Linked DNA regions of Xenopus tropicalis. The protein of the gene in region 6 interacts with the protein of the main gene of each other region in a biochemical or structural test. Links are inferred from orthologs where the notes say so. Each region holds a gene or a part of one and is shown on either strand. Other genes may lie near its edges. The genes, in order: cul4a, smad4.1, cul3, mif, cul2, cops5 and chuk.

Region 1 (4,250 bases), on a different chromosome or scaffold from region 6:
AGTTACAATTTACATTTTTTTAGATTAGTCACCCACGACAAGGAAGATATGTCGCACGGCGACTAATCTCCCCATGTGTCACAGAACTATAATAAAGATGCTGATCTTCATGCCAACACACTTTACTGCTCCAATATGCCTGTCCTCCCATCCACTCCACTTAATGTGTCCCTTTTCACAGCTGTACAAAAACAAAAGGTAATAACTACATTACTATAAGGAAGCCTACAAAAAGCTCCAAATCTACATCTAATCTCTATGTAATGGAAAAAGAGGAGCACAGCCTTAAAAATGATTTCAATGCCTGAGTGCCAGTAATGCTTAGTTCACAGCACTCTGCAGGTTTTTTCAACAACACTAATAAGTGTATTTATCAATGGGAAAAGTACATTATTTGATAAATACGCTTCTAAAAATCCCAAAAGTAATGAATGGAAAGTGGGTGAATTTTTCTGTGGTAAACTTCTAATTTCACATTTTGATAAATCTGCCCCTAAAGTGTGTTTATTGGTTCAAAGACCTGATGCTTGTTATTAACTATATCCACTGTCCCTTGAGAAGTATCTATAATTACAGGAGATATTAAAGACCACCATCACAGTTAAAGGATGTGCTATGTGCTGCTCCCCTGCTGCTGTTCAACATTAAAGGACAAGGAAAGACAAAGTCACTTGGGGGTGCCAAAATGTTAGACACCCCCAAGTGACTTTAATCGCTTACCTTGTACCCCGGGCTGGTGCCCCTGTTAGGAGAAAACAGCATCAGCCCGGGGTACGTGGAGTGATGCGCTTCCTCCTTCCTGCTACTTTTAGCTGCGACTATGCGGTAGGCGCATGCGCGGTAGAGTGAAAAGTCGACTTCTTTGTTAAAGTTCAGCTTTTTCACTCTTCTGTGCATGTGCGCGCAAGCGATCAGGAAGGAGGAAGCGATGCAGCTACCCCGGGCTGGTGCTATTCTCTCCCAACAGGGGCACCAGACCGGGGTAAAAGGTAGGCGATTAAAGTCACTTGGAGGTGCCTAACATTTTGGCACCCCTAAGTGACTTTGCCTTTCCATGTCCTTTAAGACTAATGGCACAGAGGTGTTTGATCATTGGTGCCCTCAGAATAGCTGCAGTCCAATGGTCCATCCCCTCCTGGCAGAACTGAATGTAAAGCTGGCCATACACACACAGATGATATTGTACGAAACCTCATTCGATGCATGTATGGTGGATCAACGAAACGACCGATGGTCGCAGGAAAGTTTAGAATTGCTACGTGTATGGCTCCATTCTGAATGTACATAAAACGGTGACAGACCTTGCAGCCTGCCAGAAGACTCAGGAGAAAGTAATAGGACATAGGGCATTTTCGCCACTGTTACTCTCTGAAGGAGAACAGTCACAGTCAAAATACCCATCTCCACCTGTCACTGCTCTTAATCTCAAGCACCCTGTTTAACATACACATAGCAGATATAGGCGCTTCTGCTCTTAACTGTTTTGGTGCACTGGTCTGCCTGTCACTACTCTGTGCCCATCAACCATGGCACTTCTGCTGAAACTATCTAGCAGAAACCAGCGGATTAAAGCTAATAAAAAAAAACATAGTTCTAAGCAACCAATATGAATTTATTAAAATGTTTTTGGTGCTTTAAAAGTTATTTGTAAGTACAACTGAAGGCAGAATTTGCTTAACTGGTGGCTATGCCTTTTAAAAACAATGCTGAAAAGCCAGTCTCCTTCAGCAAGACAGGTCTGTCTATCTGCTGGATTATGTTATATTGTTTCAAAAGCCACAGCCACCTGGGCAGTGAATAGAAAAGGACAATAGCAATAATATCTACAAATAACTTAAAAACCATTACAAATTTGTTATGAATGCATATTACAAGGTTGCTTAGAATTATGTTTTATTTTATTAGGCAACATTTATTTTGGGTTGACATGTCTTTTAATAGACTTAGAAAACTGACCTGCTACACTGGCTCAGGAGTCAATATCAGCCAACAGAAAGAGACACACAGATATTGCATTAAATAGCACATACATTTAAAACAACTTGAAATGTTAATGTAAACTGGAAAGTATATTTTACATGGCATTATTAGGGAAAAAAACAATTTATATGAGGATATCCCCATTAAAACGAGCAGAGGTGCCTCAGGTTGGACAGATCCCATGACTTCCTTCTTTAGGTGATCACCTAGCCCTCAACGCCAAAGCCAAGTACTGCTGCACAAGTGATCAACAATGTGAGGCTTTTCAGAAACTGTTAAATTTCAGAGGTCAGCGGCCATTAAAGGCACCAAGGTCCTGCAACTACGAATGCTAGCGCTTACAGAGTTGTTAAACACAAATAAACACATAGAGACGGCTGGGGCAGCCGCCTGGGGCCCATAGATGTAGCAGGGAGGGGGGCAAGGCCGGCCCAATCACCCACAATTACAATCAAAATAGCAGCTAGTAATGTTACACAACATATCCCCCAGGACTCTTTAGCTGCCGCTGATTTTCTTTGCAGCAATGACTTACAAACAAACGCTCGACTTCCGGAAAAGGAGCAGTTTAAAGGTGATCCCGAAGTCTTAAAAAAAACATATTGAGTGCAAATGTGATGTCACAGCCACGTGACCAAGAAGTGGAAAAGAGAACATGATGTCACGAAGGGGCGTGTCTAGCTGCGGTTTACATCAAGGACCCGCCCACTATGAAACAACCTGAGAAAGCTGCTGTCAGAATGGAAATTGAGAGATATGCCACAGAGTGAGTGAAATGTTAACATACATTTATGAGGTTACCTGTGTAATTAAAATGGCGTTCCATATAGCGGCTGGAACTATCACCGGCATTAGCCGCTGATAATATGTACAGTCACTTCCGGGTCAGGGGGCACAATAGCCGGTTTCCGGGGGAGTTAAGCGAGAGTAATTTTGTCTTTGCAGGAGCACAATTGTGTAGGAAAGCGAAATGCAATTTTCTTACTTAATTTGTTGTTAAGATATGAATGTTTTGCTTTTATTTTCAGGGTAAGTACATGACACCATCTCTGGGCAGGTTGTATTGCGCGCTTGAATGGAAACTCACGTGTTTCTTGGTCAGTGTTTAATGCTTTAGGCTTTAGGACAGTAGTCTTCACAGTAAGGATGAAGTTCTGCAAAGGGGATGACCAGTCCAAAACTGTCATTTTGTGTAATGTGAGAAAATGTAATCCTACACAACTTTCCAATACATTTAAATTGAAAAAAAAGTTTTTTTAAATAATTGTTATCGAAATATGTATTTGCTACTCCTTTCTATTCTTTACACTCACTTCTGGTTTAAACTTTTGAGTTTGTATTAGGACTACCACTCTACAGAAAATTCCAATTTCACAAAAAAAAGTTACTACTATGGTCTTAGTCTGGACTCTTCCCCAATTCTCTCCCTAATCCTAGAGTGCTGGCATTCATTACATTAAAATTCATTGCCGACACATTTTGCTCATGGCAATGCATATAGTATTTATGCAACCTTTTTAACAGTTGATACATTCCATCTTATTCTTCTTAGTCTTCTTAGAAATGAAGCAACAAATGTAGCAAATTGTAACACTGTAGAGAGCCTGCATCTTGATTTTGAGGCACTACAGTAAAATACTATATAAAAAGATTTACATTTAAAATTAAAGGGGTGGTTCAGTTTTGAATTGAGTTTGGTTTTAGCAGCTATCTGGTTTCTAGAGTCCAAATTACCTTAGCAACCAGGGAGTGGTTTGAATGAGAGGCTGGTATATGAATAGGAGAGGACCTATTCAGTAATAATAACAAAATTGTAATCTCACAGGGCAATAGTTTTCTGAAAGCTACAAAAGGTTAGAAGAAAACCGCAAATAATTAAAAAAAAACCTATAAATATTGAAGACAAATTGAAAGGTTGCTTAGAATTGGCCATTCAATAACATACTAAAAGTTACCTTAAAGGTTAACCACCCCTTTAAATCTTACAAAAAGTTAAACAATCTAATTGTTGACGATGTGCGTGAAAACAAATTAATGGAAAAACGGTTTCTAAGGCAAACTACCCTTTTTAAACAGTAGTATAGAATTTTTTCTCAGTGTTTGATGCTGTCACTTTTAACTCATTGTAGTTGTAATATTCTGATTGAACACCCTTTTGTCAAACTACAGTGTGTCTGTATTAACTGGAAACAGTGTAAATGTTAACCCAGTTAAAAAAAATAAAATAAATAATTGTTGGAAGATGATGCTTATCCTACAAGACTGGATTT
Region 2 (3,947 bases), on a different chromosome or scaffold from region 6:
CAAGTGAGCAGATCTTACTGTGTATGGCCACCTTTAGTCCCTCCAGATCAAGTCAGCCCCATATTAGCCAATATATGGAGCCCTCCTGCTGGCCTGTCTGACTGATATCTGGATCCAGTTTGGCCACCACATTACAGAATCCTGTTGGGCCCCTATTATGGTTTGGTTGTTGGACTGGGAGCCAAAATGTTCAGACCATTACAGATTCTACGTGTATTCCCAGTAGGGCTGCACCGAATCCAGGATTCAGTTCGGGATTTGCTTTCGGCCGAATCCATGCTCCTGGACGAACCAAATTCAAAAAATCACGTGACTTTTTGTCACGTAAACACGGAAGTTGAAAATGTAACCCTTCCGTACCCTAATAAGCATTTGCTAATGAAGATGTAACCCTTCCGTAACCTAATTAGCAATCTGTTCGTTATTCAGCCAAATGGATTCGGTGCATCCCTAATTCCCAGCTTTACACTGATATGTGCTTGTCACTTAAATGCACAGATCTGTTCTGGTAGAAGGATACAGAACTGTGTAACCCCCCTAGGGCATAGAGTATGAATAATAGAGAAGAATTGCAGACACCAGGCGGAGATATCTTGCATACACCGGTACTAATATCAGTACAGCACGGAGGCTCAGAGCAATCTGCCAGCCCAGTATAGTGCTTGTGTATAATCCAATGATGGTAGATGGGATAGCGGCCCGCCGGCTGGCATGCTAAGAATGAGGCTGTATTTAATAATATGCCTTGATGGTGTCTCCTCAACGACTGTTAAAAGAAGCAGCTTGAGCCCCGGCGCTTAATCCGTGCATCAGATATAATGTTTCACAGAAGGGGGGGGAACTGGATCATGAATTTCAGCAAAGGAACATTGTGTACGGAATCAGAACCACCAATCACATCGCTTCATGCGCAGAGACATTAAGGTGCCTGCACGGCTTAACCCCCAGCTGCTCTGCTTTATGGTTGCACAATGCAGCCGCACCACCTGTGAGCCCAACATCCCCATCGATCTGCCAACTGACAATGGTTTGGTGTTCACCGACACAGTGACACTATATGTCTTTTTTTGCATTTGGCTCGATGTATATGGGCACAGAACCCCTCAGTGACTTCTAATATCCTTATCATTTACAGTAGGGGGTACATTATCCCTTATAATACATGAGTGATACTCAGAGTTCCCTGTATAACTCAGCCTGCAGCCTTGTGCCTTTATATGGGCACAGAGCCCCTCAGTGACTGCTCATATCCTTATCATTTACAGTAGGGGGTACATTATCCCTTATAATACATGAGTGATACTCAGAGTTCCCTGTATAACTCAGCCTGCAGCCTTGTGCCTTTATATGGGCACAGAACCCCTCAGTGACTGCTAATATCCTTATCATTTACAGTAGGGGGTACATTATCCCTTATAATACATGAGTGATACTCAGAGTTCCCTGTATAACTCAGCCTGCAGCCTTGTGCCTTTATATGGGCACAGAACCCCTCAGTGACTGCTAATATCCTTATCATTTACAGTAGGGGGTACATTATCCCTTATAATACATGAGTGATACTCAGAGTTCCCTGTATAACTCAGCCTGCAGCCTTGTGCCTTTATATGGGCACATAACCCCTCAGTGACTGCTAATATCCTTATCATTTACAGTAGGGGGTACATTATCCCTTATGATAATCTTTAATAACAATAATGTAGAAGAAGCCAGCAGATAGATCTGGAGGAAATCAACTTCTGCTACATTGTTGCAAGAGGCCTCATCCGCCAAATAAAACTACTCCTAGTTACAATCCAGTCTAACATTGGAACATATGACTAGTTGCTAGGCAGCAGCCCTATGCCATAAGAGCGTTGAAAGGAAGCAATGTTTCCTAGAGGCTTACTATTCTCTTTAAAGGGGAAGTAAACCTAAACCTGCCAGTCCCTTTCAGCCCACAGTGGCCTGGTTTATGGGCGGGGGGAGCTAGGCTCAGATATTCCTATAACCTCTCTCTGTGCCCCAGCTACCGAGTCCTACAGCAGTATTGTCCAGTAATCACTGGGGTAAGTGTTGGGGTTGTAGGTTCGATCCCAGTCAGGGCATTATATATATATATTTGTATATTCTCCCTGTGTCTCCTGTTCTACCCATTGGAAAGCATTAGGAGAGGCGGTTTGACCATCCCTACCTGCCACTGCCCATCCCTAGTAGCAATAAAATAACCCCATGGTTATTGGGAACCATTAGGGGTCAATAAACCCTCCTGTACATATCAGCCTCAGCCAGGGAGCTTACAATCAATCAAATCCCCAACCTCTAAGAGGTGAATTAGGAAACCACTATAAGGGTTTGGGCTTCTCTGTCTTTACTGAACTACAACTCCCATCATCCCCTGCAACAACAATAGCCGCACAGGATATGTGTAAGAGCTGACAAACCGTAACTCCCATAGGCCCCTATGGGAAAAGAGGAGCTTTAAAGGCGCCCGTAAGATAGGCAAGCGCCTCACCGCCTCCAGTGTTTGTGCCCCGGAGCCTCAGCCCGTCCCCTCCCTCTCCATGAGCGGCAAGGCAGCTAATCCCCGGGCGGCCTGGGAACTACACTCCCAGCCCAGGCCCGGAGCAACCCCTTCCTTCCCGCCTATTTCCTTACCGAATTCGAAGTGAAGAAAAGCTCCGTTTCTTCCGGCACCCCCCGCCCGCTCCACAGCGGCCCAGGCCGCGGACAACAAGAACCCCCAGATACGGGCCGCGCCTGCGTACCAGCAGCAACAGCAGCAGCGATCCAGCCTACATCCGGGCCACTGAGCAGGGGGTGGGCGGGGCCGGCATGGAGCGGGAAGGAGGAGGCGGGGAAGCGTGGAGAAAGGAAAAGGCTAGTTAGGGAAAGAGGCGTGGCTGTATTAGAACAGGGCGGAATTGCCAGTCTGTGGGCGGGGCCTTACTAGCGCAGTAGTGCTGCATTCTGGAAGAAGCCCTGCTTACTGGATTGCTTCTGCTAACGGGGCTGGTTACGCTCCCAGGCCTGCTGCTTGATTTTGGGAAAGCCTCTGCCTTTTATTTATATTATTAACCCTTTGCTTTAGTCTCACAGTGCCAGTACAGCAGCAGCCAATCCTAAACCAGCAGCCAGGGCCGTCAAAAGTAATCATGCGGCTTCAAGTATTAACCCTCCAGTCACCTGGGCCCCAAAGGTGATGAACCCTGTAAAATGGGGCCCTTAAAAAAACAAAAAGCTTCTATGTACATGGTACCTATATGGGGCCCCTGACTGCAGAGAATATAGCCCCTGTACATGGCACCTATATGGCCCCCTGACTGCAGAGAATATAGCCCCTGTACATGGCACCTATATGGGCCCCTGACTGCAGAGAATATAGCCCCTGTACATGGCACCTATATGGGCCCCTGACTGCAGAGAATATAGCCCCTGTACATGGCACCTATATGGGCCCCTGACTGCAGAGAATAAAGCCCCTGTACATGGCACCTATATGGCCCCCTGATTGCAGAGAATATAGCCCCTGTACATGGCACCTATATGGGCCCCTGACTGCAGAGAATATAGCCCCTGTACATGGCACCTATATGGGCCCCCTGACTGCAGAGAATATAGCCCCTGTACATGGCACCTATATGGCCCCCTGACTGCAGAGAATATAGCCCCTGTACATGGCACCTATATGGGCCCCTGACTGCAGAGAATATAGCCCCTGTACATGGCACCTATATGGGCCCCCTGACTGCAGAGAATATAGCCCCTGTACATGGCACCTATATGGCCCCCTGACTGCAGAGAATATAGCCCCTGTACATGGCACCTATATGGGCCCCTGACTGCAGAGAATATAGCCCCTGTACATGGCACCTATATGGGCCCCTGACTGCAGAGAATATAGCCCCTGTACATGGCACCTATATGGGCCCCCTGACTGCAGAGAATATAGCCCCTGTACATGGCAC
Region 3 (4,297 bases), on a different chromosome or scaffold from region 6:
AGGAAGAATGCAATTTGTTGGCTTCACCAAGATATAACCTGCACAGAATCTGGAGTTTCCTGGATAAGGTTCTTCCATAATTTGGATCACCATACCTTTGGTCTGCTACAAAGTCATACCAAAAATAATTTAAATGTTAAATAAACATTTAAATAAACAGTAAATGAACGTTCAGGCAACAGGTAATTGGCTGGCTTCACCAAGATATAGATTTAGAATGGAAACTCTCTTGCTTGCTTAGCTCAGTGAGACTGCCTGCCAACTGTGTGTATGAATCACTAATTGTAGAACTGCCAGTACAATGTTCTTTTAAGCATGCATACAGGTGCACTGCCTAGTTTAGTGTGCACTGGCATTCCCATATCTTCATGAGCAGATCAGGATTAAATACCTTTCCTTCATCTAACAACCAATTTACAACCTTGCTGCTATAAGAGCAGCTCCAAATCTGAAATCAATATAAACTCTCAGGTCTCTGCACACCAAGTTAACACTGGAAGCATGTACTCAGAATGTTATGCCTTTATACCTGTGTCCCCAGGTGACATCTGAGGGACAGATTGGGCTGGGAAGGCCATTACAAAAATGCCCCAAGGAGTTCACTGCCTGACTATCCAGGTAAAGGGTCCACAGCGAGTGAGGCAATAGGTGCCAAATGCATGGACTGCAGTTTCCCACCATCAGCATTGTTTTGGCTTCTGATTAGAATGACTGTAAAGCGGCATTATACATAACTGTGCATATCTTTATGTGTAGGGATATTCACCAGACTGGATAATACTCCACTCTCTTTGGCGAAACCATAGATCAGTGACCAACAACAAATGGCAGGAAATCACTACTGCATTCCATACAAATCTTCTAACCTGAATGTCTATTTACTGACTGCTAATGTTATGGTGACAGCCAGTGTATCCACCAAGTGCAGCTACACCAAGCAAAGAACAGCCTGAAAATGTAGGCTTTTGCATTTCTCAGTCTGATTTACACTCCGTAGCTACACTGCCCATCAGTGCAGCTACAAGGAGCTGTGGAAACACTGTCAGAGAACAGTGGATGATCTGCTGGGATAATGCATATATATTTTACATGCTTAGAATATACATATTCATCCAAGCAATTTTTGGTTTTAAGAAGAACATAACAGGGAAATAAATGACTAACTTGTAATATGCTGTTACCTGGGATGTACAATACTTGTTTATATACTGCATAAGTCCTGAACTAAGTACACATTATTAAAGTGGAAATATGCCCAAAAAAAAAACAAACAGCTTTTTGTATAACTATATTTTGAGGCAACTTTCCAATATTAAATTTTTTTCTGCGTTTGTAAAGTATTTTCTATTTCAGTTTATATTCTTTCCTCTGCTGGACACCTGAAATAATTCAACAGAAAGTAGTTGATTAAAAGACCTGGAAAACAGACTTCTGCTACATTGTTCAAGAGTCAGAACTAGGCTACACAAAGGACTTAACAAATACTACTTTTAACCAAGATTAAAAAAAGCTTAGGGTGAAAACACAATGAGTTACTAAGTAGCAGCTACTTGTCATGGCTAGTAAATGCCAGAAAATACTCTGCCATAGACAATACTGAGAATTGCCTCTGCTAAACCACACGTAGAGACATGTATCGGTAAATAATCAGCATTGTCTATTGTTGTAGCCGTGACAAGTAACAGCTATTAGCTCCATGTGTCTTCACCCTTATAAACAACAGAAAACTATAAGGGTGAAGACACACAGACCTACTAGTAGCAGCCACTTGTCATGGCTACAGAAACAGACAATGCTGATCATTTACATTTACATGTATTAGCCATGACTAGTAGCTGCTACTAAGTTGCTCCATGTGTCTTCACCCTAATGGCAAGTTTCTAACAATGACTTCTTCATTTATTAATATGTTTTGGGGTGGAACTGCTTTTTATTAACTCAAGTCTATATATCTTTTGGCAAGCGGCCTCATGCATTTGTACAGGTCAGGGCAACTAATGCAGCCCACCTGCTGAAGCACAACTCCAGCTGGCATTGATATGCTCCATGTATTGGCTATAGGATGGCTACTTGGGTATCCCTGTCTAGTTTATTTAAGTGGGGGCTCATGATACACATCTATATGGTAAACTGCAATGGGGCTCGCTGTCAGATGATACTGGGAGTAGTAGTTTAGTATAAATAATGTGTGAATTTGGGCATCCCATACTCATGGCCATACAGATGTCAGGCAGCTAGATGAAATGATCCAGTCACAGCTAGCACAGCTGTACAGAGGCAATGGGCTTTCCATGCCATACATACAGCTCACAGAGCCTTTATTGGAAGCACATTGCAGCCAATGTTTACAATGCAGTGCTACCTGTGCACAAACACTAGCAGCTCTGCACTTGGCTCGGAGAGGATGCTGGGATATCCGGTAGAAGAGGAGCTACAGGATGATAGGTTGGATGTCACAGCTAGTGACACTTATAGCCCGCCTCCTGTATTTACACTGCCATCCATATGTGGCCCCCGGGGATTTGCCCACAAGTATCCTATGAGTCTCACCGGGAAGGCTCGGATCCTCATCTTGGTATCCTTCCGGCTGCCGGTGCTTTTCCCTAGGTTCGACATGTTGGCGGCTGTTCGCTCACACTCGGCCCCGGGGCCCCTCCTTGTCTCCCCCCGGCGGGTGTAGGTGTGAGGAGGCCCCGGGCCCGGCCTGTCAGCGACCCGGCGGGAGCTCCTTTACGGCAGTCTGGTCTCCCTTCAATGCGGCCCCCGGGGCTGCAGGGGGGTCTAAAACTATACGAACGCCCTAACACCCAGCGCTGACTAAACTCCTCCGCGATGGCGGACAAACATCCCTTTCCCAGCAAGGCCGGCGAGGGGAGGAGCCTGGGAATGGGGTGTGTGTCGCGAGAGTTCAAACAAGCCCCGCCCTTCCATACCCAGCCCCGCCCCTTCCATTCATTTCCTCCCACCCCCGGTCGGAGCGCTGTCACTAAGCCGCAGCCCTACCTCGTCTCAATAAACTTTATTACATCGCGCATACATTGCTGCGCAGGCTCCGGCGACAGCGACGTAATCCGTGGAACGTTGACAAGTGACGTCATGTGACGCTCTGAGCGCAGTTCGTACGTGGAGGCTGACGCGTTCCGTATATATACAAAACGCCTGTCGTCACTTATGCTTCTTTAGGTGGTAATGCGTATATAGACACTAATGTGTACCGTCTGGAACCCGGGAACCCTAGCCATACAACGAATTTGTCACACCTACCGTAGGTGTATGGATAGGGTTACTAAGTAGCTTCAAGTAAACATGCAATATTAAAGAAATAGATTGATTTTGACTTAATTAACGTTAGTTTGGCTAGACTCATGTTAAGATGCCCACTCTCCCAAGAAACAGAAATTCCAAAACATTGTATAAAAGCATTTCCAATATAATGTACTGTTGCCCTGCACTGGTACAACTGGTGTGTTTGCCCCAGAAACACTGCTATAGTTTATATAAGGAATGCAGCTGTGTAGCCATGGGGGCAGCCATTCAAAGCAGAAAAGGCACAGGTTACTTAGCAGATAACAGATAAACCCCCATTATATTCTACACAGCTTATCTGCTATGTAACCGGTGCGTTTTCTTTCTTTTATCAGCTTGAACGTCTGCCCCCGTGGTTACACAGCAGCTTATTTATATAAACTATAGTAGTGTTACTGTAGCAAACACCAGTTTTACAACTGCAGGGCAACAGTACATTATATTTATGTTAAAAAACTTTTAATTTTTTTGGTGTTACTGTTCCTTTAATATAATAATACTCATAATATAATAATTTGTCACTATAGTGCACCATCATGAAAATAATTAAGGCCATCCAGTTTTTGTGGGACCTTGTTATTAAGCTAAGGGGGGCAGCCTAAAGACCAGAGAGTAAAATCCGGGGTGAGTGTTTAATTGATCTGGAGCTTTAGCAGGGTGATTATTAACCCAATGCTTGTACATTTCTGTTATATAACCTTGTTATGGTGTTTGGAAGCCAAGCCTGAAGGCAAGTAAGAGTGAGATGTGGGTTTAATGTTTATTTGCCTCTTTTAATAGACTTGTAACTAAAACAGGGAAGCTGTTAGACCATGAAGAACTGCCTGCTGGTTGTGGAACTGTATACAATGGAAATGTCTCTTTAAAGGCTTGGGGGGCATAAGATATTTAGCACACCTTTCTCCTGTGTAAATGACTGAAGTCATTGAGGTGAGAGTTTAATCAACTCTTTTCTGGCATTTCCTGCGTTGCACTCCAAACAGTAAATTGA
Region 4 (4,262 bases), on a different chromosome or scaffold from region 6:
AACCACTAATAAATTTGAAAAGAATGTATATTAGATAGCTGCTTATTATTTTTTAATTATGTTAAATTTAATTTTTGGGTTCGCATGCCCTTTAACTCCAGTTTTAGATGCTTTTTTTTTTTTTTACTACCCTGTACCAAAATGAGTTTTCGTTACATCAAAAAGAATTTGATGGCAACACGAGCAAAGTGTTGTTACAATTGCCATAAAACTGCCAGAAACTTCTGCCAGTGAGCTTGGTTAAATGCTTACTCTAATTGCACTGCCACTCGTTACATGCATTAAATGCAAAACAAACAGCAAATGGCACACAAACGGTTAAACATATCTACTGGACCTATTAACAGCTTGTGTTTTCTAGATATTCTCTGAGCAGAACAGAGAATGTGTGCTCACTTGGGCAACTCAATGCTCTTGCCCATATTTGGCCAGTTTTTTTCCCCAAGTGCTATTACTACTGGTAGTATTTTTCATGTATTTTGGATGCAGGTTTCACTGCACCTAATTGCATGACTTAACTAATTTCATTTTTTCTGCCTGGTTGTGCCTAGGAGCATTCCAAATATACAAAAATAAAAAAATTTGCTCTAATAGACTAGTTGCAAAAATAAAAATATCTGATTGGTTGCAGAGCTACTTGCTTTAGGCATAAGGGAGTTTCTCAATAGAGAATTCATACTGATCCTGTTGTTTGCAGCTAGGGTATACAGTATATGGTATATCTGCCGCTACAGAAGCGTTTGGGGATACATTCCAATTACCTGAATATGATTTACCAGTACCAGCACTGTCACATGCTTGCCAATTTATTGAATGGTGTGCAGCAGAGGCATTTTCTAGCATTTCTCAGAAAGTGGAGAAAAGGTGTGCATGGAAAACAAACAAGGAATAATAGACCTGAATAAGAGGCAACATGGCTAGTGGTCAGTGTGCTTACCTGTTAGCAGGAATGTTCATCTGTTTTGTCAGATAATCACAGAGCAGCTTACTGTAGCTTTTGTTCTGTGGCCCCCCTATCTTTCCAATGCTGCTGAGGCTGCACACAGCACAAGGATCAGTCGAATCACCAAAGCTCATCATCTGATCAGGCATAATATGAATTGCAATGTACTGCAGAGGAGACAATAGGTTAGCTATGATGATAGCATTCTGGTAAAAAGCACCATTGCAAGCACTTCATCATTATATCCCCAAAGCCATGGATCTTGTTCTCTGCTTTAGGATGAACAACTTGCAGAGGAGAAACATGAGGGTCACAGGGTCCTGTGGGATAGCAGGTGTATTAAAGGGGACACACAGCTATTTATGCATGCAGTGATAACAAAAAAAAAAAAAAAAAACATTACAACTGCTTTCAATCTGGGCTAAAATGAATCAATGCCTTTAAAAATATCTTTATTGGAGCATCCTAAGTTCCCTATCTTACAAACGAATGATGGGTGTGTCATAATGGTCCTTCCCCAGCAGCACAATAGGATAGGGGAAGCCAATAACAGCTCTGCCTTTACATATATAAAGTTAAACCACAGTCCCCTGTGGGGTCTGCTTAGCTGCTGATTGGTTAGCATCCAACAGTGCAAAGTGCTTGAAGTCACAGGATCTCCTGTGCAGTGTGGGACAGCAGCTAACAGCGGGTTGGTGCTAGTTAGGGTTTTGGGTTAAAGGGGACATGTCACTAACACATAAGCTGTATAATAACATTCCTCTACAAATAAAACCCAAATACCTGTTATTAATGTCCTTAAAAATCCAAGCTGTCAATCATATAATGCCAGCCCCCCTCCCCCCCCTCATGCCTCAGGCACAACAATTACTATTAACATTGTCTTTGCATGAGCTTTATAAATTTACCTTAAACCTATTTGCCCAATGCTGTTACATTCCCTATCAGATCCCCCATGTTCCTGTATAAGGGGGCTGCCATATTTGTGCAGCAGTAGCACATTAGCATTAGAAGCTATAACTGACAGGCTGAGAAGGGGCAGTCAGGTTGGCAAAACAGTCAGGTTTAGGAAGTTTATGTAACAATTACTTACAAAAGCAAACCTGTCGGTGAAAAATGATCAACTTGACCTATAGGGAACTTTTTACATACATTAATATTTTGAAAAGTAGTAGTGGTAAGACCAATTAAAACGTTGCTTAGAATTGGCTATTCTATAACATACTAACATTTTACTTAAAAGTGAATCACCTCTTTAATAACAGTGTCCACAAAATGGCACCAGCCTGCTTACTGTGAATTCCAAGACTAAAGGAAACAATATCTGAATTATTTATGTAGTGTAAGTAAAGTTTTTTCTCTGAACTAACATGATATTAAAGAATTTTACATTATTTCTTAAGGTGACAGCTTAGTTCAAAAGCACATTTTATAGGTTCATTCCTTGTGCATATAACCAGTACATGTTCTTGGTGCCCCCTTTAATTAATGGTGGTTTGGCCCGACTCATGGGGAGGAGGAAGCGCCACCTGTACCCTGTAAACCTAAACAGTGCACTGACTACTTTTTATTATAAAATACACTGATATTCTATCTGCTTGGACCACAAATCACAGTATCCTCCATGAATGTGCACATTGTAGTTCAGCTAAAGCTTGAGGCCCGATCATTGGACATCATCTCCCCCCGTGTTTTAGCGGTGGAATGACTCGCCGCACCCACTCCCTCCCCATGCACCTCAGCTGGTTTGCCCGTAGCCTTGGCCAGCAGTTTGGTGAGATCGGACAGCAGGGTATCGGGCATGGAGTCCCGGCAGACGTTAGTGCAGACGGTGAACGTAGGCATGATGAAGCAGCTAACTGAAGGAAGACGCAAAGATGGAGAACGGATCGAACACTGACAAGGGACGGAACACGTGGGGTACCAGTCCCGCCCTTTTCCAGGTCAACCAATCGGCGTGCTTCTAACGGCACCTTAAAGCAGTGAGGTAGACGCTTGGTTTGTCACTCACATTTCCTGCATTTGTTCTGGTGAGGTGTTGGTACAAGTGTTTAGTTATGCCGCCTGCATAGTCGGGCATTGCGCCTCTCTGCAGCTTGGTACGCACGCACAGGATCTTACGGGACTAACGAGCCCTTTCTGGCAGCGCTGTCATTCAATTCCATAGTTACGTGTAGACAGGCTGCTATAACTGGGGGGGGGTGAGATTTTTGGATCGTAGTAGGGGCCCCCTCACCTCGGATAGATTGGGGACTTAAGAAGGGAGGGCGGGAGATGTGGTGCCGGCGTTTTCCCCTACACATCCCTCCCTGTGCTTGTTGGGCACTGATGTTAAGCCCCGGTAAAGCTGCATGGGAATTGGATGGGCTGGAGGGGAAGTTTAAACTTCATCCCTCCAATCCTTGCAACTCACATTTTATTCTTTTTCAGAATAGTCCTGGGATTAATGTAGGAGCATGTTTCTTACATGAGAAAATTCATATGTTCTATTTTCACTTGGGGCATCATGTCACACATATACACACACATATATATATATATATATATATATATATATACACACACATATTTGTAGAAAGACTATTATTGGCTATTTGAAATTGATCTAAATGTGTCCTTTCCAAAAATATGTGGTTTTTCTGGGGGTCTTTTTACAGTAAGGGGGTCTTACAACCAGGCCTGGACTGGGATTCAAAATAGGCCCTGACATTTTTTAAGACACATGCCCAAACAGCCCCCACCAGCCCACTTAATAGTAACTGTCTATGGCATCTTACAGTAGCCCCTCCGGCAACTGCCACAATCCACAGGTTGCCAGTCTGGGCCTGTATTTTGGCATCAGAAAGGATTTTCCCCATGTGAGGCTTAACTGGCAGCTGCCCTGGAACCATTTGTACCATGGAATGAGTTCCATGTTAATTCAGCCTAACTAACTAGGAAGTTTTATGTAACTAAGCAGCTTTCTTTATGCTACTGTTGTCTATTCCATACTCCCAAATCTAATGTGCCAATCCCTCTATATCCTCTTAGTGCCATTTAAAGCACAATCAGATCTTTTTTCTCCTCCTTACTCCTGTGTGCCAGTCTAAGTGCCATTCCCTTTCTCTGTATATTCCATTCTCTCCTGACTTTTGAGTACAAGTCCCAGAGCTTTTACCCCGTTCCCCATGTGTCATTCTCTTTAAAGAAGAAGGAAAGGCTAAGTCACTTGGGGGTGCCAAAATGTTAGGCACCCCCAAGTGACTTAGATCGCTTACCTTGTAAGCCCCTGTATGGAGAAAACAGCACCAGCCTGGGGTAGCAGCGAGCGCTTCCTCCG
Region 5 (3,500 bases), about 98 Mb from region 6:
ACAGAGTTGACAAGCTGAACAAATTTACTGTGAACTTCTAAGACTGACTCCACAAATTGAGTTGGCATCTGAAAGATAAAAAGGGAACATTTATAAAAAAACACAAAGAGAACTACAAGAAAAAAAAAACTTAAAACATTTAAATGAATTATAAAAATACAAAAATTCATGAATGGCAACTACAAATGATCTGAGATTAGCACTGGCTAGTGTTCCCTGTACTTAGTGACATACTGACCCAAGGCCATTTGAAAAAGAGGGAACATTCATTGTGCACAGTTTGGAGCAATCACATTCTAATGGGAAATAGTCTTAATAATATACCATGTAATAAATAAAACCCAGCTGGCATGTAAAAGATTAAATAAAACTTCCCCATAATTCATTTCATTTCATGTTTCATCGGTATGAATTAGCCATTTTCTTTAAGTTTCTTTGTCAGGAAGCATGTGGCACTCTGTGGTGCTGGCCTTTTGTGTACTTGGGCATTTTCATTCTTATTGCTACTTAAAGATAAAGTACATAAACAGATATATTCCTTTAAAATCCAAACCCTTTTTTTTTTATTTGGACTATGGTATAATATGGCCAGATTAACTCTTTGTTTCGCATTAGTTTTTAAAATGATAATTTGGGGAATTTGGCCACATGTTCATATCTTTCAACTGTCTGATCCAATGATGAGTGTGGCAGATTTAAAGATGTCAGGCAGGGAAGTAATTTCCTCGTTTCCTTCCTTTTCCCTCTTTCAGGGAGCTCTGCATCTATGGTCTATGGCACACAGGGCGTTATGCCTGCCTGTACAAGTAGCAGCAAACAATTGGTGCAGGCTATAGCCCGTGGCTCTGCTCCTTCATATTTTATCCCTACTGCTCATTTAGTATTTATGCGGCTATCAAGGGCTTCATGGTTACTCACGTTTTCCTGAGAAAGATTACTAATAGCTCTAAGGCCTTCATCGTGGATATGGTTTTGGAGTTCCTGAATCATATGAGGTAAACCATTGGATACAGCACGGAGAAGAGTGTACATGTTGGCCATATCTGCAATGCCACAGAAAATAATGTGACACAAAGTGATAACTGTAACAATCACGAGTTAACATTTAAACAGTTTTTTAAACTAATTTTACTCTGTGGCATTGTTACACTAAAATACTAAAATATTTATAATCCCCTTAAATTAAAGCCCACTTTTCAACATTCAATATAGAGCACAATATATCTTGCCATTCAAGGAGGCTGCAGGACACAAGGAGTAAAGTAAATACAATAAGGTAAGTTTGAAAGAATTACAGGAAATTTTAAAATTTCCCGTTAGGACTAGGGCACCCCAGCTGTTTGATACAGGGACCTAAAAATTAAATAGCGTTAAATGGCACAGATTTAAATAGCGGATAAAAGATGAGCCCTGTAGAACACCATTATATTCTACAGAACTTATCTGCTATGTAATCTGAGCCTTTTGTTTCCTTTGAATAGCCTCCCTCATTGCTACAGAGATTATTTATAAAAAAAACTATATTAGTGTTTCTAAAGCAAAAATACCAGTGCAAGGCAAAAGTTAATTATAATCACTTTAAAACACAATTTTTTTGGAGTTACTGTTCTTTAAAAGAGAAGTATTAGCTTATCAACACTACCCCTGCTGAATAAAAGACTTTCCATTTCTGACCTAAGCTTAGCAACATCATAATAAGCCACTTTGATAATACAGTTCTCAACCAAAGCATATATTATGATGATGGCTAAAAGGCTGAGAAACTGAAAATGGTTTCACCTAAAACAAAAGAAAAAATAACTGCTCAGTGCTTACCGCTTCTCCTTTCTTGTCTGATGATATTGTGACATTCTGCGTGTAGAAACTGCAAGTGGTCTGCCACCATTCTCTGCTGGCATTCATGAATCACTTTATTATATGAACTGGGGTGTAAATACTTTCGACATCGAATCTCTTCATCTTTTAATCTACCTAAAATCTGCACGTAAATAATAAATAATAATGTGCAAGAAATCTTTAAAAACGTATTAAAAACAAGGTACGTGATTGCTTTAAAATTCATGTTTGGGTTCTGCAACTTAATCTGAGTCTCCTTAGAAAAAGCTGTTATAATGGGACAATGACACCTGTAAACTGATATCGCTCTTGTACTTGCTGCCCCTGGGATCAAGACCAACCCCTATAGTTTTCCCACTCCACTTAATAGAAGTTTAAATATTCCATAATTTCCCCTTTACACACAAAAAAAAAGGCTGCCCAATGTACTTAAAGGACCAGTACAGGTATGGGATGCATTACAAATTAGTACAAATTACGGAAAAAGCCATCTCCTATAGATTCCATCTTAATTAAATAATTCAAAATTTTAAAACTGAATTCCTTTTTCTCTGTACTTGATCCCAACTAAGATATAATTAATCTTTATTGGGGGCAAAACAATCCTATTGAATTTATTTAATGTTTAAACTAATTTTTAGCAGACTTAAAATATAGAGGTCCAAATCATATAAAGATATCCCAAGTTCTGAGCATTCTGGATAACAGGTCCTATACCTGTAACAGCAAAATATAAAAGGGCCATTTAGCCCTATTTCAACTTGAATGGATGCCCACATGGCTACACAGCTTTATTATATTATAAGCTATAGTAGTGCTTCTAAGACAAGCATACAACTTTTGCCAGTGCATGTAAACAGTATATTATTTTTTTAATTTTGCCCCACTCCATTAAATTATAACAACAAAACAGCAATTAACTTTTACATTCATACTGTGGCTTGAATAATAATAAACATCTGGTTGGCTGCTATGGTTTTCTGAGCAAAAGAATACTCTGACCAAATATTACATTGGTTTTAACTCCCATTACTGTTATGGTTTTGTTCCAGAGTTGTAAGGTAAACCTTACTAATTCCTATAAATTGTACAGAAAGCATAATATACATTTTAATAAATCCACAATAAAAATACATAGGCTGTTACTTTTCTTTACCTTTTCCATATATTGTGAGCAGTTTGACTCTTGTAATAAATTTGAAGCTTCTTGTTTATAATACTCCCCTGTTTCAGCCAGAAAAGGCAACTCAAATATTTCTTGATAAAACTGTAATAAAGCACAGTATGTTGATAACGCAAGAATGTTTTCAATAGGCGGTGTAAGCAGCGTCTTTATGGCCACAATTGCACACATCTACACAGGCAAGAGCAAAATGTAGCTGCCCCATTAGGCACACAGAAAATATCATTCACTTATACAAGCACAAGCAACATTGCATCATTGTGGAGGCACCAGATATAGTTCCACTTACACACATACAGCCACACAGTTACACAGGCAATACCAAAGCTTCACTTTCACCCAGTCACATGCACAACCACTGCATGATTCATCCGCCCACAATAAAAGCACTGTGTGGTATCATTGTGGTATTGTTTAAAAGATCCTATATGTATTGTCAGACCAATCTTAAAACTACAATTGCCAATTCCCCATCTGTTTA
Region 6 (3,500 bases):
TACAGTAAGCAATGAGCTGTTTATAAACTTAATTATATAAACCAGATATGAACCTGGAGTTTACTTATAGTTCAAGCAAGGACCTAGAAGTTGTTTAAGAATCTTTTTCAAAAGATTGGTATGTCCAAGCAAACAGAAATCATATTCTTAAAGGTATACTTTCATGATTTTTATGGTATACTTTTTATTTCTAAATTACACTGTTTACAAATAATTCACTCAACCATTTAAAATTCTATTCTTGAACCAACAAATTTATTTTATTTTCTTAGTTGTAATATTGGTGTGTAGGCACCATCTCAGTGCATTGTGCCCGAGTCTGAGCTTTCAAAAGGAGCCAGCACTACACATTAGAACTGCTTTCAGGTAACCTATTGTTTCTCCTACTCCCATCCCAATCCAAGCTGGATTTATTACTATTGAGTGCTATTCTGATACCTACTGAGAGCTGCTATCTTGCTCCCTTCCCATTGTTCTGCTGACTGGCTGCTGGGGAGGGTGATATCACTCCAACTTGCAGCGCAGCAGCAAAGTGTGACTGAAGTTTATCAGCGCACAGGTCACATGGCTGTGTCTGGCTGGGAAATGAAGAATATGGCTAGTCCCAAGTGAAATTTCAAAATTAAATATAAATAAAAATCTGTTTGTGCATTTGAAAACGGATATCAATTCAGGATTCTCCTGAAGAAGCTCTATTAACTGATGCATTTTGAAAAAAAAAACCATGTTTTCCTATGACAGTATTCCTTGTGGTTTAGGAAAATTGTATGACAATCTATAATATGGCTAGTGCAACACGGAGCTGTTTCCTGGCCTGCGTATAAACACAGGCCTACAAACAGATGCTCTGCTGGTCTCTGCTCACCCCTCTGTCTGCATTGACAGGCACTTTTGTAGCCTAGGTGCAGACACACAGAGCAGATTTCAGTGCAAAAATGCGAGTATGCATTTTAAAATCCACTCTGTGCATCTGTACCCAGCTAACACAGTGCATATGAGTACAAAGGGAGAAGCAAGCAGAGGCCAATGGATGGAATGTTTTTAAACTGCCCCAGGTGGAGTAACATTTAGGAAGGTACCCAACACAAGACAAATGTTAGATCATAGCTACCTTCCAATAAAAAAATGACGAGCTTAACTAAAGACATTTAAATCTAGGGTCACAGGAGAGGAATTAAAAATTAACACAGTTTTTAGGTGCAATACCAATAATGTTACATACATCTAAGATACTAATGCATGTTTGGCAGCTATAAGGAGAGTGAAATAAAATCTAAGATACTGTAAAGCATACATTAATATATATACTCATGCAAAGATTCACAGCCTGTAATTGAACTGGATATACCATAAAATTGCTCTGTGCCCTGCCTATAAGCCATACTATGAAGCTTAGGACTCTTTTTTAAGAGTCTTTTTCTTAGCCTTGTAATTCCTTTTTAATATATTAGTTTCTTATGTTTCCACTACAAAATTACTTACTGCTTACAATGCACCCCAAAATCTTCTATTTTGTTCAAAGGAATCGTCTGGTACTCTGACGGACCCTCATCTGGAGGTTTATAGCCCTACAACAAGAAGGTCATCCATCAGAATTGCAAAACAAGGAGTTGATTTACTTTACTTTTTCCTGTTTATTTTTCACATCAGCTAAATGTTAAGTAAATATGTGTTTGAGTGAGTTGTAGCTCACCAGGACAAATATATGGCACAACCAAAAAAGGAAGTGTCATGATTTTGTAGCTACTTTCATATAGTGACAAGTATTGATTTTGTATCTTTTATGCCAAAATGTACTGGTGTCATTAAACCAGGGAAGGGAGTATGTTCATTTGCCATAAAGTTTTAGAAAGACATGTAAAACAAGGTGAAGGACCCTATGAATGTACTGAATTGAGTGTTTGCTACATGGACTATATATCCAGCAGTGAGGTTAGCCTGGAGTGGAACAGTGCATATTTTCATTGTTTGTGTGATCTGTCTCATATTTGGCTAAAAGCAAGTAGATGTAAGCCATAATAATCTTACCCTTGTTATATGCCAAGTAATGATTAAATTACAATTAAAAGTAATATGAAACTTAAATATCATTAACATTCACCTTTGGATATGTTCTGAATGCACCAAGATTAACTTTGCCAGCAGATATTGTTCTTGTTGGATCAATCTGAAGAAATGAAAATTGGAATAAAAAAACTTGTTGTATCAATAATCTGCAATGACGTTATAGTAATACTGTACTCACCACTACTGCAACAAAGGGTTCTTGAAACTGCTGATTAAGCATCTGGGTGCTGACATCTATGCCAGAAAGCCAACAGCCATAGCCAGGGTGACTGTGGTACCAGCCTATTGCATTTTCAAGTCTTCCAACCTGTGAAGAAAAAAAACAAGGATTGGCTGCCAAATTCTGTCATTTTATTTCAGGTAACACCAAAAAATTAAAACATCTTTTTATTTTTTTTTACTTTTAAAGTTTGTAAAGTATTTGTTGATATAGGACTTAAATATTTACAAGTTGTGAAGGCATTTGTCCGTTTATCTTTTTGAGTAAGAGCTAAACCGATTGCATTCTACAGAGTTTATCTGCTATATAGCCTGCAATTTTTTACTTTTACAGCTTGAATGGCTGCCCCCATGATCACACAGCAAGCAAATACACAGTTTTTACAAATGAAGGCAGCCGTACATTATATTTTAATTAGTTAAAAAAATGTAATTTGTTGGTATTACTGTTCCTTTAACACAATTTATAATACACTATATATATATATATATATATATATATATTATATATATATATATATATACACACAAACCAAGAGGGTTCAGCACTCCTTAGCAAGTGGCTAATTGACCCAGGTGCTACCGATTCAAGCAATTTCAATAGAGTCCACAGGTATAGCGGTGCACACTGGGAATCCTTTAAAAGTTAGCTTTTATTAAACTATATAAAACTTAATACATGGAGAAATAGGTCAACGTTTCGGCCCCCATCTTGGGCCTTTGTCAAGACCTTAAACATGTAACAACCATCAAAGCTATAAATAGATAAAAGCACAAACCCACACCCAATGGCACAAGTCATTCCAGTCATGTGTCAAAATTAAAAGAAAAGAAACCCTGTACCAAGGAGAAAACAATATCAAACACCATAAGGAGAATTATAATGAGCATACCACTGGCCATAAACTCCCATTGGGAGTTTATGGCCAGTGGTATGCTCATTATAATTATATTATCATTATATTATATATATATATCGAACCAAGGGTGGCACACCGCTTCAATCCTTGTCCCAGGTGCACGGTAAAAGAGTTTAGATATTGAAAAAAAGACCAGCAACACCGGATCTATTGCAAACAATCAATTATATATTGAAAAATACATATATAGAATATATATATATAATATATTCTATGTTTTTTTCCGTGCACCTGGGTAGAAATTGTTTGAATGCGGGGCATCTTTAAAGGCACAGATATTCCCTACTAGAGGGC
Region 7 (3,500 bases), on a different chromosome or scaffold from region 6:
TAAAATGGAAAATCTCAATTCAAAAAGAGGTAAGTTTCCAATTTACATTTATAAACTATTTCTAACATGAGTTCAACATGACTTCAATCAATAGGGTTTGCCTCAGATATGTTTTGTCTAATGTTTTAATCATGAAAAATGTTTTTTATTTCTTGAGCTAAACTACATCAGACATAACTTTAGCAATGATTGTCTTTCCACCACAGGTAGGAAATGCAATATAATGTCCTTTACTAAAGTAAACACCCAGGCAGAGTGCTTGTTTTTACCTAGGAAAACTCTATATGCTTTTTTCATCAGGGCAACCTAATCTTTCTACATCTGCCTGAATGGTGTAATTTCACTTCTGTACATTAGAAGGCTTAATGATTTAGCCTACATTTTATTAGCATTTTTATTGATGTTAAATAATAAAAATCACTAATGTTAATTACCCCATGAAGACAAAAGCAGTAAAGTGGTGTCCATGTGTCTGCTGTCATCTAAGGCCCCTAGCCTTATCACACCCCAGGGGCCAATTGTTCCCCACCACAGCTTGATGTCTCGGGGCTGGGGAGCAACAGGGGGATAACAGGAAGTGCTGCAGGCCGTAGAATCTACATTCTGTGTCATATATCCACAGAACATGGCATTTAAGGGTTATATACATTTGTATTCCTTTTATTTTTTCACATCACTGGAACTTGTACACTGTTTAGGTAACAAGATTACCCGGTATCTAAACACTCAATCAAAATTTCTGTTCCTGTGGATGGCCTTCATGAATGTCAGTCTATGTGTAAATGTAGCATCTCTGCCGATATCTGTACTTACCTATGTAATTAAGGCATTCCGAGAGGCTTCTTGACTGAAATGGTCCTTCATAAACAGTCTTGCTTTTATCAAACAAATAAACCATATAGCTATCCCATCCTTTCTGCAGGGAAAGACAAAAGGGATTATATAGTTTGAGATAAAACACTTATGATTAGTTGAATCATCTAGGCTAGGGCAAGAACTGTATTTACTTACCAGTGTACAACAACTACTATTTGGTTCTCCTCTAATTCTTAAAATGCATGTTTCACATTTACACATTTTACATTTTATTAACCAAGAAAAAAAAAGCAAAAAGCCCTAGAAAAATAGCAGTAGTCCTCTTTAGGCCCTCTTAGCAAACATTATTTCTGGGCTCTCCTTCCATCACTTGTGGGACCCAGAATCCCCCTGTGCACAAACACCTGGCTTTTCAGGTATGGGCTGATCCTCCCTTATCAGGGCCGGCCAGAGCCATGGGGTTTGTTCCCTAATTGTTATTTTTAGAAATTTCATAAAAACCACAAAGTTTAGCATAGCTAAAAATACAAGCCTTGAAATTTGTATATACATGTTACTTTTTGCCATCTCTACATGTGAAATAGTTGTTTAATTCTATGCATATTGGTCATCAAACTGGTCCAAAGACCCCTGACATTCATATTCAGGATGTTTACCTTGGCATAATATGACGCGTGGGAGAAATATTAACTTTTTTGTGGCCTTACCTGTGGCTTTAAAGCTATTTTGCAACAGCTGAAATGGCATGATTGTTCACATGATTTTGTGGCCTCTACTCATATCTTTCACAGTGTTTTATTTGACTAAACAAAAAAAGCCAAAAATGTACATATTTTAATTGGGGGGGGGTGCTATGAAGGTTATTTACTATGTGCAAGGCAGGGTGCAAAAACTGACACAATCACTCATACTTTGTTTACTTTGCAACCTGCCCTATATAAAGAATATTTGCTCAGGGTCTCCGTTTTTTGATTTGGCCCCATGAATACAGCGCTATCTGTGGTTGGCAGCATTCTTGTTCATTCTTGCAGCTGGGTGGAGGGACGTAGAAGTGCAAATAAAATGTGAAAATCTACTGGTACTGATAGGGTTAAAGGAATCTTGCTGTCCTGACCAATAGAAATATTTCATTATTTTGATCATTTGTATCAAAAACATAGATGGCTTTAGAAAACCAACCTGGAAACATTTCCGAAGAAGCCTTAAATTGTTTTTCCCCCCTCCCTCACATTTTAAGCATATGATGTAATGCATTTGCTCTGATGTGAAGCACAGATCATAGAATAAACAAAAAAAACATAAAATCTGTGGCACTGGCAGTCAGGCACTTGATGGACAGAGCTGCATATTATATGATCTCAGGCTGGTAAGCGTTTAATTTATAACTTTAATTTAAAACCTAGCGTTTGATTTGGTCATTCTGATATTCTTCCATAAAAACCTTACCACTCCATCTATAACACATTGGGATGCTGGTTTTCTTGGATCAAGGGATACCCCCATCTCTAGAAGTAACTCTTGATTACATGTGCTAATGCCAGTCTCTGTCTCAATGCGAGACTGCAGGGTGTGTAGGCTCTCCTCAGGTTGCAGGTGAAAAGAATGAATCTTGGCAGATGTCATATTCAAAATGTGAACTATCTAAGAAACAGGAAGGAAAAATAGGGTTATATACACTATAATAATAACATATTTAATGCTACAAAGGAGCTGCTCCATTGGCCTTGGTAACCTTTTTTATATCAGTTTCAACTAGGTGGGCCTCCAAGTGTCACAGAACAACAGTTACGTTCTTGTTATTATCCAACAGCACAAGGATCCCCAACCTTTTTACTTGTGAGCCACACTCAAATGTAAAAAGTGTTGATGAGCAACACAAGCATGAATCACATATTTTTCAAAGAACTTCTGATATTGTTTTTACCTTCAAGTTGAGGATCTGGTCCATTAGCACAAAACATTGTGGACGACCGCAGTCCATTCCTCCTCCCCGTTGTATAGGGTCCCAGTTTAACAAAAGCTGCAACCATGTCTCTATCTTGTCTACAATTATGCTGAGGGGAGAAAAAAAGACAAGCCCTTCAACACGTTTGCCCACCTGAAACCTGCTTAACTGCAAGATGAACAAAAGGAAGATGAAAAAACCTCTATAATTTGCCTCAGGGGCAATTTCTTCCTGATGTCAAGTAAACAATTTAATTTACTTACATTTCAGTAACTTTGTATATTATCACTTTCTAAAAAGGCATCCAACCCTTTTTTGAAACTACTGAATGTATCTGCCAGCATATTAGCTCTGGTAGAGAATTCCACAAAACCCTTTCTGCATCTTAAAGGACAACTTAAGCATTTTCCTGCAGCAGCAACTAATGAGAAACTTGCAAATACATCCTGTGCAATACTAAATACACAAAAAGTCTACACCATTATTATTTTTGTGCTTCCTCCAATGTGGTGTACATGATTATATGTACTAAGCTCTGTACAGGAGGCATATACATTGGAGAAACAGTGCAAAAAACTATGCACAAGGATGAACCATCACTGACATAAGATCAAGACCAAAATATGTGATAAACCAGGGAGGCAACCATGGTCTTAAAGGAACAGTAATACCAAAAAATTAAAGTGTTTTAAAGTAATGGAAATATAATGTACTGTGGCCATGCACTGGTAAAACTGGG

The links.
Region 1: of the proteins of cops5 (region 6) and cul4a, one has a biochemical effect on the other in vitro, tested with the Homo sapiens proteins (5 studies listed by BioGRID, with this or other methods). The link is inferred for Xenopus tropicalis from reciprocal best matches to the Homo sapiens genes COPS5 and CUL4A.
Region 2: the proteins of cops5 (region 6) and smad4.1 form a complex in vitro, tested with the Homo sapiens proteins (2 studies listed by BioGRID). The link is inferred for Xenopus tropicalis from reciprocal best matches to the Homo sapiens genes COPS5 and SMAD4.
Region 3: of the proteins of cops5 (region 6) and cul3, one has a biochemical effect on the other in vitro, tested with the Homo sapiens proteins (2 studies listed by BioGRID). The link is inferred for Xenopus tropicalis from reciprocal best matches to the Homo sapiens genes COPS5 and CUL3.
Region 4: the proteins of cops5 (region 6) and mif form a complex in vitro, tested with the Homo sapiens proteins (2 studies listed by BioGRID). The link is inferred for Xenopus tropicalis from reciprocal best matches to the Homo sapiens genes COPS5 and MIF.
Region 5: of the proteins of cops5 (region 6) and cul2, one has a biochemical effect on the other in vitro, tested with the Homo sapiens proteins (3 studies listed by BioGRID). The link is inferred for Xenopus tropicalis from reciprocal best matches to the Homo sapiens genes COPS5 and CUL2.
Region 7: of the proteins of cops5 (region 6) and chuk, one has a biochemical effect on the other in vitro, tested with the Homo sapiens proteins (2 studies listed by BioGRID). The link is inferred for Xenopus tropicalis from reciprocal best matches to the Homo sapiens genes COPS5 and CHUK.

Annotation. Positions count from the first base shown.
Region 1 is NC_030678.2:116,032,484-116,036,733, forward strand, and holds the start of cul4a (cullin-4A), read right to left. Parts: upstream 2,801-4,250; 5' UTR 2,782-2,800; intron 2,747-2,781; exon of another isoform or gene 2,651-2,746; intron 2,624-2,650; exon of another isoform or gene 2,516-2,623; intron 1-2,515. UniProt on the Homo sapiens protein: Core component of multiple cullin-RING-based E3 ubiquitin-protein ligase complexes which mediate the ubiquitination of target proteins. As a scaffold protein may contribute to catalysis through positioning of the substrate and the ubiquitin-conjugating enzyme.
Region 2 is NC_030677.2:205,056,866-205,060,812, reverse strand, and holds the start of smad4.1 (mothers against decapentaplegic homolog 4), read right to left. Parts: upstream 2,801-3,947; 5' UTR 2,638-2,800; intron 1-2,637. UniProt on the Homo sapiens protein: In muscle physiology, plays a central role in the balance between atrophy and hypertrophy. When recruited by MSTN, promotes atrophy response via phosphorylated SMAD2/4.
Region 3 is NC_030681.2:123,779,709-123,784,005, reverse strand, and holds the start of cul3 (cullin-3), read right to left. Parts: upstream 2,801-4,297; 5' UTR 2,617-2,800; coding exon 2,551-2,616; intron 1-2,550. UniProt on the Homo sapiens protein: Core component of multiple cullin-RING-based BCR (BTB-CUL3-RBX1) E3 ubiquitin-protein ligase complexes which mediate the ubiquitination and subsequent proteasomal degradation of target proteins.
Region 4 is NC_030677.2:153,040,493-153,044,754, forward strand, and holds the start of mif (macrophage migration inhibitory factor), read right to left. Parts: upstream 2,801-4,262; 5' UTR 2,789-2,800; coding exon 2,681-2,788; intron 1,111-2,680; coding exon 938-1,110; intron 1-937.
Region 5 is NC_030682.2:21,665,161-21,668,660, reverse strand, and holds part of cul2 (cullin-2), read right to left. Parts: intron 3,104-3,500; coding exon 2,993-3,103; intron 1,979-2,992; coding exon 1,816-1,978; intron 1,044-1,815; coding exon 919-1,043; intron 69-918; coding exon 1-68.
Region 6 is NC_030682.2:119,213,253-119,216,752, forward strand, and holds part of cops5 (COP9 signalosome complex subunit 5), read right to left. Parts: intron 2,375-3,500; coding exon 2,246-2,374; intron 2,168-2,245; coding exon 2,102-2,167; intron 1,569-2,101; coding exon 1,483-1,568; intron 1-1,482. UniProt on the Homo sapiens protein: Probable protease subunit of the COP9 signalosome complex (CSN), a complex involved in various cellular and developmental processes.
Region 7 is NC_030683.2:110,575,717-110,579,216, forward strand, and holds part of chuk (inhibitor of nuclear factor kappa-B kinase subunit alpha), read right to left. Parts: intron 2,871-3,500; coding exon 2,741-2,870; intron 2,458-2,740; coding exon 2,263-2,457; intron 917-2,262; coding exon 814-916; intron 1-813.